Oryzias latipes: one gene and its partners. The protein of the gene in region 2 purifies or fractionates together with the protein of the main gene of each other region. This does not show direct contact. Links are inferred from orthologs where the notes say so. Each region holds a gene or a part of one and is shown on either strand. Other genes may lie near its edges.

Evidence for each region.
Region 1: the proteins of map2k2 (region 2) and ksr1 purify together in Homo sapiens (affinity purification with mass spectrometry; 4 studies listed by BioGRID and IntAct, with this or other methods). This does not show direct contact. The link is inferred for Oryzias latipes from reciprocal best matches to the Homo sapiens genes MAP2K2 and KSR1.
Region 3: the proteins of map2k2 (region 2) and ksr2 purify together in Homo sapiens (affinity purification with mass spectrometry; 3 studies listed by BioGRID and IntAct, with this or other methods). This does not show direct contact. The link is inferred for Oryzias latipes from reciprocal best matches to the Homo sapiens genes MAP2K2 and KSR2.

The regions. Positions count from the first base shown.
Region 1 is NC_019872.2:17,293,256-17,296,904, forward strand, and holds part of ksr1 (kinase suppressor of Ras 1), read right to left. Parts: intron 3,639-3,649; coding exon 3,498-3,638; intron 1-3,497.
Region 2 is NC_019862.2:7,813,836-7,818,006, reverse strand, and holds the start of map2k2 (dual specificity mitogen-activated protein kinase kinase 2), read left to right. Parts: upstream 1-1,358; 5' UTR 1,359-2,022; coding exon 2,023-2,111; intron 2,112-2,282; coding exon 2,283-2,493; intron 2,494-3,538; coding exon 3,539-3,685; intron 3,686-3,762; coding exon 3,763-3,840; intron 3,841-3,927; coding exon 3,928-3,979; intron 3,980-4,171. UniProt on the Homo sapiens protein: Catalyzes the concomitant phosphorylation of a threonine and a tyrosine residue in a Thr-Glu-Tyr sequence located in MAP kinases. Activates the ERK1 and ERK2 MAP kinases.
Region 3 is NC_019867.2:3,439,356-3,443,623, reverse strand, and holds the start of ksr2 (kinase suppressor of Ras 2), read left to right. Parts: upstream 1-1,356; 5' UTR 1,357-1,474; coding exon 1,475-1,648; intron 1,649-4,268. UniProt on the Homo sapiens protein: Location-regulated scaffold connecting MEK to RAF. Has very low protein kinase activity and can phosphorylate MAP2K1 at several Ser and Thr residues with very low efficiency (in vitro).

The DNA of each region.
Region 1 (3,649 bases), on a different chromosome or scaffold from region 2:
GAGCCAGTCAGTGGTTTCTGGATGCTCACATCCCCACCTGTGAAGCACTACTACGTACGCTTACATACAGTCTCATGGAGCGCCTGGACAAGTCTAAAAATGCAATTATGTTTTTGACTGATCCTAAAAGAGGCTCATTCCGCTCAACTCCGCCACACTGGGCACAGAGGTTATACTCCTTTTTAAATGGTTGTAAACTGTAGTTTTGTTTTGTTTTTCTATTTTTATTGGTATATTTATTTATTTTTACTATGTATGTTGTATCTGTCTTCTTTTATGGACCGCATTTGAACATGAAATAAAGTGAATTATGTTGATGAATGGAGGATTTCCTTATTAGGATGTATGTTTCTGGCTTCCAGTATACATATTTTGCAGGTGATGAAAAACTACTAACAGAAAACATGCTTCTGGGCTTACAATTGATTTGAAAACGTTTTACAAAGTGCTCAAAGCCAGAAATATTTAAACTTATAGACTTCTGTTTAAATACGCCTATTAATGTTTTGGTAATTGACATGTACAGTTATAGCCCTTCGGTGCCCTGCTTTAAGACACTTCATTACAATCAGAGTGGTAACTAAACCTACCATCTTGCTATCAAAGCTAAACCACTACCTCATTGCTACAGCTACCAACAGATGGAAACAGTCAATCACAAGGTGAACAGTTCAAAGGATTTGGGCTTGAAGACATGCTCAATTCCTCTTTAGGTCCCAAGTGTCAGAATGGAAGAGAAAAGTCATTAAGGGGAACTGTTACGCATAGCTTGAGGATGCTGTGGTTTTAGGTACGAGTAGTATTTCAGTAACTGGAAAAAAAAAAAAATCTGTTCAACTTCAAGATAATTGTCCAAGGATTATGAAAAATCAGCCAATAGTGACAAACTTAGGCTAAAAGTGCTGCCAGACTCAACACATTTCTCAATCGACGAGGGAAAAAAAATATCTTGTATAATGAGTTTTTGTTCATTCATAACCATAACACAAAGGATTAAGTTTACTTTGATTGAAGCATCACTCTCCTGGCGATGGTGTTATTATATGGGGTATGACTTCTTGGTACATTTTTGGCTCCTAATTTTGAAGTGAAAAGTAAACCCCTTGTGGTTCTTGCTACCGTAATTAGCAGGTCTACCCCTTTCTGATAACAGTGCAAGTATTAAAAGGTTATAATTTTTTTAAAACTACTTTCTAGAACATTGACTGTATGTGAGAACTGGACGGAGTCCTTCAACGTCACGTTCCAAATAGGAAGTACCAAATTGGCTCCAAGAAGGAAAATTCCATTTACTTCTCATAAATAGCTAATACTCAGTCATTCTATTAGTCAGAATAGCCATTCTTGCTCTGCTATCTTTTTTAACATGTTCTTGCTAATACAAAGTTTTTCTGTGGTGCAACTTACTAAAGTTCTGAACTGGCCAATCGGGCGCGTCAATGAAAGTATGAGGTCTTACGTTGCATCTTCAAAACGTGTGATTGACAGATTCTCCCAAGCCCATTTTGTGTGGGGTGTGGACTTCCAACAAGCTCACTCCTGATTGGTTGCCATAGAAATGTTGACTGAGACTGACTCATACCAACTGATGCCTACTGCTGTTGTCTGGTTCCAACATGGTGGCATCCATATCGAGACTAAATGGGGACTGAATTGACTTCATATCGTTGGAGCTGAAAGTAATGGGAGATGTCACACTGACTCAGTCCAGTTCTCGTATACAGTCAACTGTTTAGAATGCAGTTATAATGTCATGGTGGATGGGTTGTTTCCAGAGTGATCAGATCTCAAACCATGTGAGTAATGTACAATCATGGTGGAATAGCCGTGATAAACGTAAACAGATTGATATGAAACAATGGCCAATAAATATCTTTCCTGCCAACATGAGAAAAACACAACCTTTCCTATAAACCTGACATAGTTTCATGGAGTATTTATGATTAATAACCACTACCTGAGATAAGAGGTTTTCTTTACTGCATGTGCCGATTTAATGGCTCAGTTAAACCTTTACTCTAAGTAGAGAAACACTGATTGCAAAACTAGGGCAACCTCCCACACGTGTGTAAACTACAAGCAAGACTTTATCGCACAGAGAGGCTAAGCAAGAGCGGGAGATGTTGTACTTAAAACTGCTGTGACTCCTCCCACCTCATCATTTGCAACATCTCCGATGCAACCGACAGAACACTTACAAATGATCGCTTTCTTGAGGTCTTACTCCGTCATGCACTGTTGCTGGGCGGAAATGCAACAGTCATCCAACACTGCACACCTGTTAACCCTATAGATTAGCTCGTTTAGAAACCCCTTTTATAGTTATCTGTGCACAGTTCCAGCATAAAGCTAAATGAAAATGTGTACCAATCTCTGGACAGCTGCTGTCAGTACAGGCTCCTCATACCTGTTAATGGCTCTGAAATGTACATAACATAACACCGACCCCGCAGTGGAGAACAAATAGTTACAGTGTGGAAATTTCAGTGTAATAATCTGAGATGATGACCAAAGTTGGTCATCAGGATGCAACAAAAGCTCCACATCCACAGAGCCAGTACTTATTTTTTCAAAATACATTAAATTTCTGACTCAAAGAAAACTCCTGACGTAGTCGTGTTTAGGGGTAATAATTGCTAATAACAGGTATAGAGCAAAGGAATGAGACAAGAAGAATAGGAGCTTCTCTGCACACCAAAATAAGAGAAAATAGAAAGAAAGTGAAAGAGAAATTTGGAAAAGAATAACACACAAATGCCTTAAATAGATGGGATACAAAAAGTAAAAAACTTTATACAAGGTTTTCCGTCGTGTGTGAGTCTCTACTGTTGCTCCACCTAAAAATATAAAACTACAGCAGACATGGCAATGAAAATCCAGGTAACCAAACAAGTTTCTAACAGGAATTATATTCCCTCAGTCATCTGGAAAGTTTATGTTTACACAGGGCACGGTCTGCAGTTTAACCCATTGTCGTCTGAAGGATGTAATAATCCTACGTTTAAAATCATTTAAATACCCTCACAAATTGGTGTGGGATCCTCTCCGCTCAACTGAAGACCAGAACAATCCCAGAAAGCTTTCATGTGGACCTGTGAAGTCTTCAGCAAACATTTGCTTTTGGGACATTCCTCACACTCCTGTGGAAAAGCCCTTTCTAGACTTGCAAACATGGTAGGAATTAGAACTGGAAGCTTAATTTTGGGGACTTGGAAAAAAGAAAAGTCTTTTATATATTGCAAAACATTAACAAATGTTTTGTCTAGCTCTTTCAGTCTCCATGGGCTCTCTGAGCACTTCAGTGCATGCTAAAAAAGGACAAAAACTCTTTGGCTCAAGTTCAGGTTTTCTGCCACTTATCAGGAATAAAAATAAAATTCTTCCTACTCCTACTGAACGGGTAACACTGGTTGCATTTTCTGAGAACACGCCATTTGTAATACAAACACTACAGTCCTTCCCTAGAATAGTCTGGCAATCAGACAAAGTCGGCCTACCTTGATGAGTTCTGTCCGCAGGTTGATGGTGCGCAGCCAGTCTCGCAAGTGAGGGTAGCTCTCCAGGGCCTCTGGCCTGTCTGTCTCTGGCACTTTGTGCTTGCACTGCAGCTGTTTACAGATGTATTTCATCAGCTTCACCTGCAGGGAGC
Region 2 (4,171 bases):
GATTCTTCTGGGTGACAAAACGCTGAGTTCAGCAGCAGCTCTGGACGCCGCCGCTGTGGCCAACATGTTCCACGTGTGAGTCTGTTCAGGACGATGAAACTGTAACATAAAGAAATGTATTCTAACAGCTGTTATTGACGTGTTGAATTAATAAAATCTGTTCTTAAAAAACATCTTCGCCTCTTTTCTGGAACTGTGTGACCTGAGTCTCAACTTCTGCTCTGGGAGGAGCTGCCCACCTTCAGGAGGCATTTGCTCCTACTCCAGTGGTTCCTTCTCTTTTTTTCTGTGTCTCCTCCATCCTAAAGAAGCGTCAGCTGTGGTCTATCAGGTTCAGACTGAACTGCTCTAGGTTTGCTTCACTAAACGGGTGGTTTTGGTTGCAGCGCTGACTGTTCATCCTCTAATTTATCTCGGATGAAACGCCGCCGTCTTCTGAAAACCTGCTGAGACGTTTGCATGATGGCACCAAACTTCAGCAGAGATCTGCTCTTTGGAGATGTGTGCAGCTGAGTCTCTATGAAAAACACGTTTGATGAATCTTCTGAAGTTTACGTTTGAAAAGTCAAAGTCTCCAGAACTGCAGGGTTGATGGGCTGAAGCCGAAAGGCAAACCGGTCAATTAGCTGAAATTACATTTACACAATAGATGATTTTCTGCATTAAGATGCCAGCACCCCTTTATAGAAGTGTTTCTATAGCACAATTAAAAATAAAGTACCAGAAATGCTTATTCGTTATCAAAATGAAGCTGCAAAAAGAAAAAGCAATCCACCAAACTTCTTTTTCTTCTTCACTGCTCATTCTGTCACTTAATTCAAAGGATAAAGAAAATATTATTTGACATTTCATTTTCAAAAGGTTCTCTGGTAAATGTGTAGCAAAATATTTGCAGGGTGGATGTTAAAATGAAAATGCAATCCCCCCTTTGCTTATTTGTTTAAATAATGACACAGAATAAGTGGTTTTTATGTTGAAAATGAAAAAGCATTTTGAAGTATTGATTTTTCATTTTATTTTTGAGTCATTAGATGTAGTTACCTTTTGAAAATTAAAAAGCATATCTGTAAATCCATTTTAATTGTCAAATTAGACATTTCTAAATGAATTTTGCTACACATTCGGTCAATATCATTTGAATTGAGTAAGAACATGCAGTGTTGAAGAAGAAAATGAAAAAGAATTTTGGTGGATTGCTTTTGAGTCAAAAAATGCAGCTTCATTTTGAAAATGAAAAAGCATTTCTGGTTTTGACGATTATTTTTGATTATGCTACACAAATGCTTCCATATATTCTGTGACATTCTTTGCATGACTGCACTTCTCTCTTTGGCCGCGGGATGGCGGTGTTTCCCAAGAAGCCTGTTTGTCTGCGGACATAAACGCGCAGAAAAGCTGCAGTTTGGTGTCCGACCAAACCCCTCCTCAGCGCCGCGCGAGCCTTAGAAAAACCTTTATGTCCCTGCACCCGCACTTCGACTTCCACTGGGATTCTGGTAATCTGTCACTCAGCGGGTTCGCCGCTGTACCACAGCCCCATCGCCGTAGGCAGCTGCTGCTTCCTGTATTGAGGCACCGGGGTCAGGAGCGGAGCCACGCGCGTTCAGCAGTCGTTCCTCGCGGACTGAAACCAGGACGAACTACAGTTTGGAGGCTGTGGTGAAGTGGGCGCCGCCTTTTCGAACCTCGGCCGCAGGTGACTCTTGGACGCGGGGGGAGCTGCTGCTGCGTGTCGGGACTCGGACGTTTGTTGAGGGACTGGCGCGACCTGCTAGCAGCTAATGGCTAGCAGCAGATAGATATCTAGAAAATCCAGATCCTCCGCGGTTCTCAGGAGAACGGTTCTCCTGATGGTCGCTTTCTCTGAGCTACACTGACATGCCCCCCCCCTAACGGAAGTGAAAGCTAACGTTAGCCAGGAAACTTATTAGCCGCTCACGAGCGCCGAACAAGGAAGAGGTGCCGCGCGGCCGCACTGACTGTTCGCTGCCGGAAGGAACCGTGCGGGAACGATTCCCTGAAATGGCCCCCAAAAGGAGACCCGTTCCCCTGAACATCACACCCATCGGGGAGGGACAGACCACGTCCAACACCATCGATGCTGCGTCCGAGTGAGTCCCGGGGGGGGTTAACAATTTACATTTTTATGCAGATCATGCAGTACCCTGAATCTGCAGGGGGCACTCTTTTGCACAGATCTATCATCTGTAGGGGGGTGTAAACTGTCTCTATCTGTACTTTGACCCCCCCCCCCCCACACACACACACACACCCTTCCCCAGAGCCAACCTAGAGGCCTTACAGAAGAAGCTGGGAGAGCTGGACCTGGATGAACAGCAGAGGAAGCGTCTGGAGGCCTTCCTCACCCAGAAGGCTCAGGTGGGAGAGCTGAAGGACGAAGACTTCGAACCCATCTGTGAGCTGGGGGCAGGAAACGGGGGCGTGGTCAACAAGGTCCGCCACAAGCCCTCGGGTCTCGTCATGGCCCGCAAGGTGAGGACCTCATCTGACGGTTTGGTGAAGAAGGCAATTCTGGAATCTGAAGCCTGACTTTCTCCCAAAGCCCGCCCAATTTTTTCTGCACTGCAAAGTTACCAGCAGCTGCTGCAGACGGGACACAACAAGTCTGCTGCAGCTGCTGCAGGCGGGACTTGACTTGTCTGTGGCTGTCGCAGATGAATGTAACTGATCTGTAGTGGCAGATAAAACACGACCGCTGCAGACGGGCCACGACTCGGTCTGCGCCTGCTGCAGACGGGACACGACTTGGTCTCTTGCTGCTGCAGATGGGACAGGACTTGGTCTCTGGCTGCTGCAGACGGGACACAACAAGTCTGCTGCAGCTGCTGCAGGCGGGACTTGACTTGTCTGTGGCTGTCGCAGATGAATGTAACTGATCTGTAGTGGCAGATAAAACACGACCGCTGCAGACGGGCCACGACTCGGTCTGCGCCTGCTGCAGACGGGACACGACTTGGTCTCTGGCTGCTGCAGACGGGACACGACTTGGTCTCTGGCTGCTGCAGATGGGACATGACTTGGTCTCTTGCTGCTGCAGACAGGACACAACAAGTCTGCTTCAGCTGCTGCAGGCGGGACTTGACTTGTCTGTGGCTGTCGCAGATGAATGCAACTGATCTGTAGTGGCAGATAAAACACGACCGCTGCAGACGGGACAGGACTCAGTCTGCGCCTGCTGCAGACGGGACAGGACTCGGTCTGCGCCTGCTGCAGACGGGACAGGACTCGGTCTGCGCCTGCTGCAGACGGGACAGGACTCGGTCTCTGGCTGACACTCACGAGATCCTCAGACTGGTTAGACGTTCTTCCTCAGGCTGTTCAAGGCCTCCAAGTTCCATCAGAAGACTTAGTTTCCTGTAGTTGTTAGTGGAGGGGCGGTGGGTCGTGTTGCTGAATCTGCTGCCCCCACAGTGATGCACGCCCCCTCAGAAACCATCCAGACGTTCCACTGAGGTACTGCAAGTGTCTATGGTCCTGCAGACAACTCCCACACTGTTCCACCTCTTCCCTCCTTTAGCTAATCCACCTGGAAATCAAACCTGCCATCAGGAACCAGATCATCAGGGAGCTGCAGGTGCTCCACGAATGCAACTCCCCCTACATCGTGGGCTTCTACGGGGCTTTCTACAGCGATGGAGAGATCAGCATCTGCATGGAGCACATGGTGAGACTCTGAGCCTCCAGGATCCCTGAAGACGTCCTGCTGGTTGAGGTTCTCATCCACGTCTTCTGTCTCCACAGGATGGTGGATCCTTGGATCAGGTCCTAAAGGAAGCCCGGAGAATCCCTGAGGAGATTCTTGGAAAAGTCAGCATAGCGGTAAGAGCCTGTGGCTGGGGGGGGGGGTCTGTTCCTCTGGAATGGGTTTGTTCTGCTGCTGGATCTTCTCTGCTGTGTCGTTGGCAGGTGTTGAGGGGGCTGGCTTACCTGCGGGAGAAGCACCAGATCATGCACAGAGGTAACCACGCCTCCAACACCGACAAACATCATGTCTGCTCTTCTGTCCTCATACGCTCGTTGGCTCCTCCTAATATGACGGTAGAACCATTATCATGATGCAACCGGAGCACCACCGCGTGAACAGAACCAACGGTCCAAATGTCAGATCACACCTTTGAATCTGGGAGGAAAACAGCGGCCAGACGTTTGA
Region 3 (4,268 bases), on a different chromosome or scaffold from region 2:
TTATTAGCCGGGCAAGTAGAGGAAAAACCCCGTCTGTTCTATGTCGCTTCCTTTTGCCGCGCTCGCGACAGAAACGCACGCCAACGTCATGACGTAACACCAACAGAATGTCGTTTTGCTTTCCGGTGGGTGGGATCATGGTGATATGTTGAAGGTAAACTGTAAAAAAAACCACAATATCAATTGAAGAATTTTAATATTTTCTAAAGTAAAGCTTAAAATTGTTTTTTGTTTATTTTATAAACATTTTTGAGTTGATTATCTTGTAAAATAGAAATCTCTGTGTTAGTTTGATATTTATCCGTAGGCGAAAACATTTTTGACCGATTTTCTTGAACATTTCAGAACGAAAATTAATGTGCTGTGGAAATCAGACTAATTTTAAAGATTTGTATAAGACTTTAAAGCATTTAACAGGAAAAAAACAATATTTAATCCCCTGATGTACATACATTTCTATCTAACTTGTGCAATAAGTATTTCGTAAAATAGGTAAATTAAATTAATAGAAAAATACACAAGTTTCTTAATCTGTTTGGTTTTTAATACGTTTCATTTAGAATATACGCTTTAGACGTTAACTATTTAGCTACCTAACCAGGCGACAACCAAAAACAATAAATAAATAAGTAAAACATGCCCCCCCCCCCCCCATTATTTAATAACTTGGGTGAGTACACACAATAAATGTTTTAAAAAATGTTTTCAAATTTTGTTTAACCTTTTAGTTTAACAGGCACTTCGTTTGCATTTTAGTAAGATTGCTGAATTATGTTTAATTTGATGAAATATCACCCTGAAAAATAAAGATCATTTGTCGCAGATGATGCGTTTCTCGTCCAGCAGACGAGAACCCACTTGAGCGCGCCGTGATCACGCGAGAGCGGCCCCTTACGGCGGCGCTGCGATGCTGTTGCTGTGGCTTTGATTGACGGGAAACATGTCGGTGTGGTGGGAGCGAACCGGGATGCAGCTGCTGCCAAGGGAGACAGGGAGTACCTGCATCCAATCCGCACATCAGCACCTTTAAAACCGCCAGGTTCTACCCGATCCGGCTGTTTAGGATGCGCTGAGCAGCAAATTTGGTTCCTTTCCCCCCCTTTTTTTTCTCCCCCCCCCCCCCTTCCTCAGCATCCATTAGAACGGAAAGGACGCCCGATGGATGCTGTAGCAGACCGCTCAGCCCCGCTCCGCATCCTCACATTGAGTTTGGTCTAGTTTACATCCTTGATCATCCAGCTGGAGCTGCGAGGACTGTTGTTGCAATGGAGGCGACCCTCTCACGGCTCAAAGCCAGAGTCTAAGCCTGCAGCATCTCTTTCCACTGCGCTGTGCTGGTTGCTCTTTTCCGCGGGCTCCTCCACGTTTCTTTCTTGAATTATCCTCTTTTTTTAACCCTCTGTTCTTCTTCTTCTTTTTTTGTCTTGGAAATACAAACTAAGGGGAAAAAATACCATCCAGCGCGCGCTAAACTATGAACGAGGAGATGACAAAAAGCGAGGAGCAGCATCTCAGTTTGCAGAAAGCCTTGCAGCAGTGCGAGTTGGTGCAGAACATGATTGACATAAGCATTTCTAGTTTGGAGGGTTTACGGACCAAATGTGCCACATCCAACGACTTGACACAAAAAGAGATCCGAACGCTGGAGGTAAGCGGCTCCCTGACTCAATTACTGCTCTGCATCCTCAACTAAAGCATCACCCAGGGCTGTCAGTTTTTACAGGCCACTCTGCACGTTTATGCTGTTTTTTTTTTTCCCAGCAGCAAACTACCCTGGTGCTGTCATTGCATCCATATGCAGGGGCTCCAAGCTCCACAGCCTTTCATCCGTGCGCGCGGCTCTGTCTGTGCAGTGCAATAAATCTCGAGGCCACGGGGCTGCAGTGGGCTGCTGGAGACTTGCGCATTCTGCAGGTGGCGGGAAGAGAAGGTGGCTCTCCTCTTCATCAGATATATACGTGAGGCCTGCGCGTGCAGCCCCGTGTTTACAATCCGTTGCCGGTGTGCCATGCCAGCCTGCGCGCGCTCTGGGCTCATCCCAAACCCAGCCGCCGTTACGCAAGGCGACCAGATTATACCGACAAGGTTACAAAACATCCCTATCCTTTAATTGGCCCGTGGGGGTATTCTGTAAATTACGTTATGTAACGGTCACAATAACCCGGTGTTGCGTTTGAGATGGTCCACCTTTAACCGGCCAGCGGACCTGCTTCAGAGTCAGAGCGCCGCACGCAGGAAGAAAGGTCAGCGTGAGTGCTGCGGACGCAGAGCAGCCATAAACACCTGTGAGAATGTGACGACGCTGTCCCAAGAGATTAAAACAAACAGTATTAAGTGCAATAAGAGGCCCATAAAGCCATCTGAGGTTCTGCACGCCTTCAACACACTCTAACCCCCCCCCCCCCCCCCCCAGGGGGATTAACAGAACTGAAAAGCTACATTCGAGACCATAAAGTCACCTGAAAGAGAGAGAGTGCTGCACACATCAACATGCTGCTCTAATGCTTCATGTCTGAGCTCTTCATTGAGGAGACACTTAATCCATAAACATGGAGCACAAACATCAGGCTGGAAAGTGCAAAGCAAACAGGAACGTTGTGAGAATTATATTATGCACTTGCAAAGGTTATAATTTTTTAAAGATGAATGAAGATCAAACATAATGGTGGGGTTGTTACAAATCTAGCTTTCTTTTAAGGCCGTCCCTGATGAAAATTGTGTTTTCTGTGTTTTTCACATGATCTTGTGGCATTTTCTTTCTGATGAAGGAGGACATTTCTTAAAAAAACTAAGATCAAAATAGCATTTCGGAGTATTTCTTTTTTTTTCAAATCATCGTGAATCCGGAGTAGACAAAAAACGGAAAAGGTTTTGGGTTTGTATAACAGCAAGCCTCAAACCCCCTGCTCCGCTCCATCCTGATGCATCCACTTGTAGATGACATGTACATCTTCGTTTTCCTCGTCTGAACTGGCATCTGGCTTAAAACTGCGGCTGGATAGCGCCAATATTTCTCACCATTTTTGTTAAACCCACAATGTCACGTTGGGGTGATGAGGGGCTGTAAGCCAGTGGGAGAGTGTGTAAACAAAGGGATGATGGGAAACGCAGCACTCTTGTCCTTCACTAAATCATATTTATTTTCTGATAATTAATGATTTCTAGAAATCTTACTTGCAAGGTAACCATTGCTTGTTAGAGCAAAGTCCCAAAACATTTGTAATTTATTAATGTGTTGTAACACATGTAACTATAAACCACCTGCTTTACCTTAGATCACATAAATTAAACCTTGTTTCAAAACATTTTATTGATTTGATCAGTGATTTCTGCCTTCGTGGAGAATCTAGGAAATCATTTCTAGGTCAGATGTTCGTGATGTTCTGCAGCTTGTGTCTTCAATTCCAGCGTGTTGTGTCTGTTTGATATTATTCATCTTAAGTTGGCAGGACTTTAGGATTTCTGGCGGTGGTTTCAAACCGTCCTCAAAGGCTGAACGTGGTCATTTTTCTGAACCTTGACAGCAGTTCTTGCATTTGTTTACCAGTTTTTCTTGAGTTTCACTCATCTTTTAAAGTATTTTTGTGACCTTTGTTTACTACATAGGGAAACATTATGGATCATTTTCAGAAATATTAACTTTTTTTTTTTTTTACTTTTGTCGTGAATTAGGAAGAATTACCCGTCAGGAGCTAACTAAAAAGCCTTTGGTTACGTTCAAATTCACTGACTACTCCCTAAACCCCAAAAACTACTCTTACCACTTTTCTTTAAGGCGAAATATGACATCACCCATTTTACAAAGTAACAGCCTAATAATAATAATAATAATAATAATAATAATAATAATAATAATAATAATAATAAATTTATTTCAAGCGCCTTTCAGGTCACCCAAGGTTGCTGTACAAGGTTAAAAATAAGACATAAGAATAAAACATCAATAAGAAATTATCAGAGTAAAACATGAGTAAACATATAAACATAATAAATGTTAACACTTTACAAAGATTAAGTATAACACTTGAGTTCTGATGATGAAAACTTGGATGATTTATAAAAAGAAATGTACACACAGTTTTTTAAAAATAAAAGAAATGGTTCAAATGCAATGCATTGTGGTCTATAGTTGCCAATTGAGTGAGCATCAATCATTGGTTGTATCCAAATTCCTTCACTACTTACTACTTATTGCACTACATAGGGTACTCGCCATTTTGTCGTGGTTCCCAGAAGTCTGCAAAAAAAATAAGTGTGCATCGATGGTC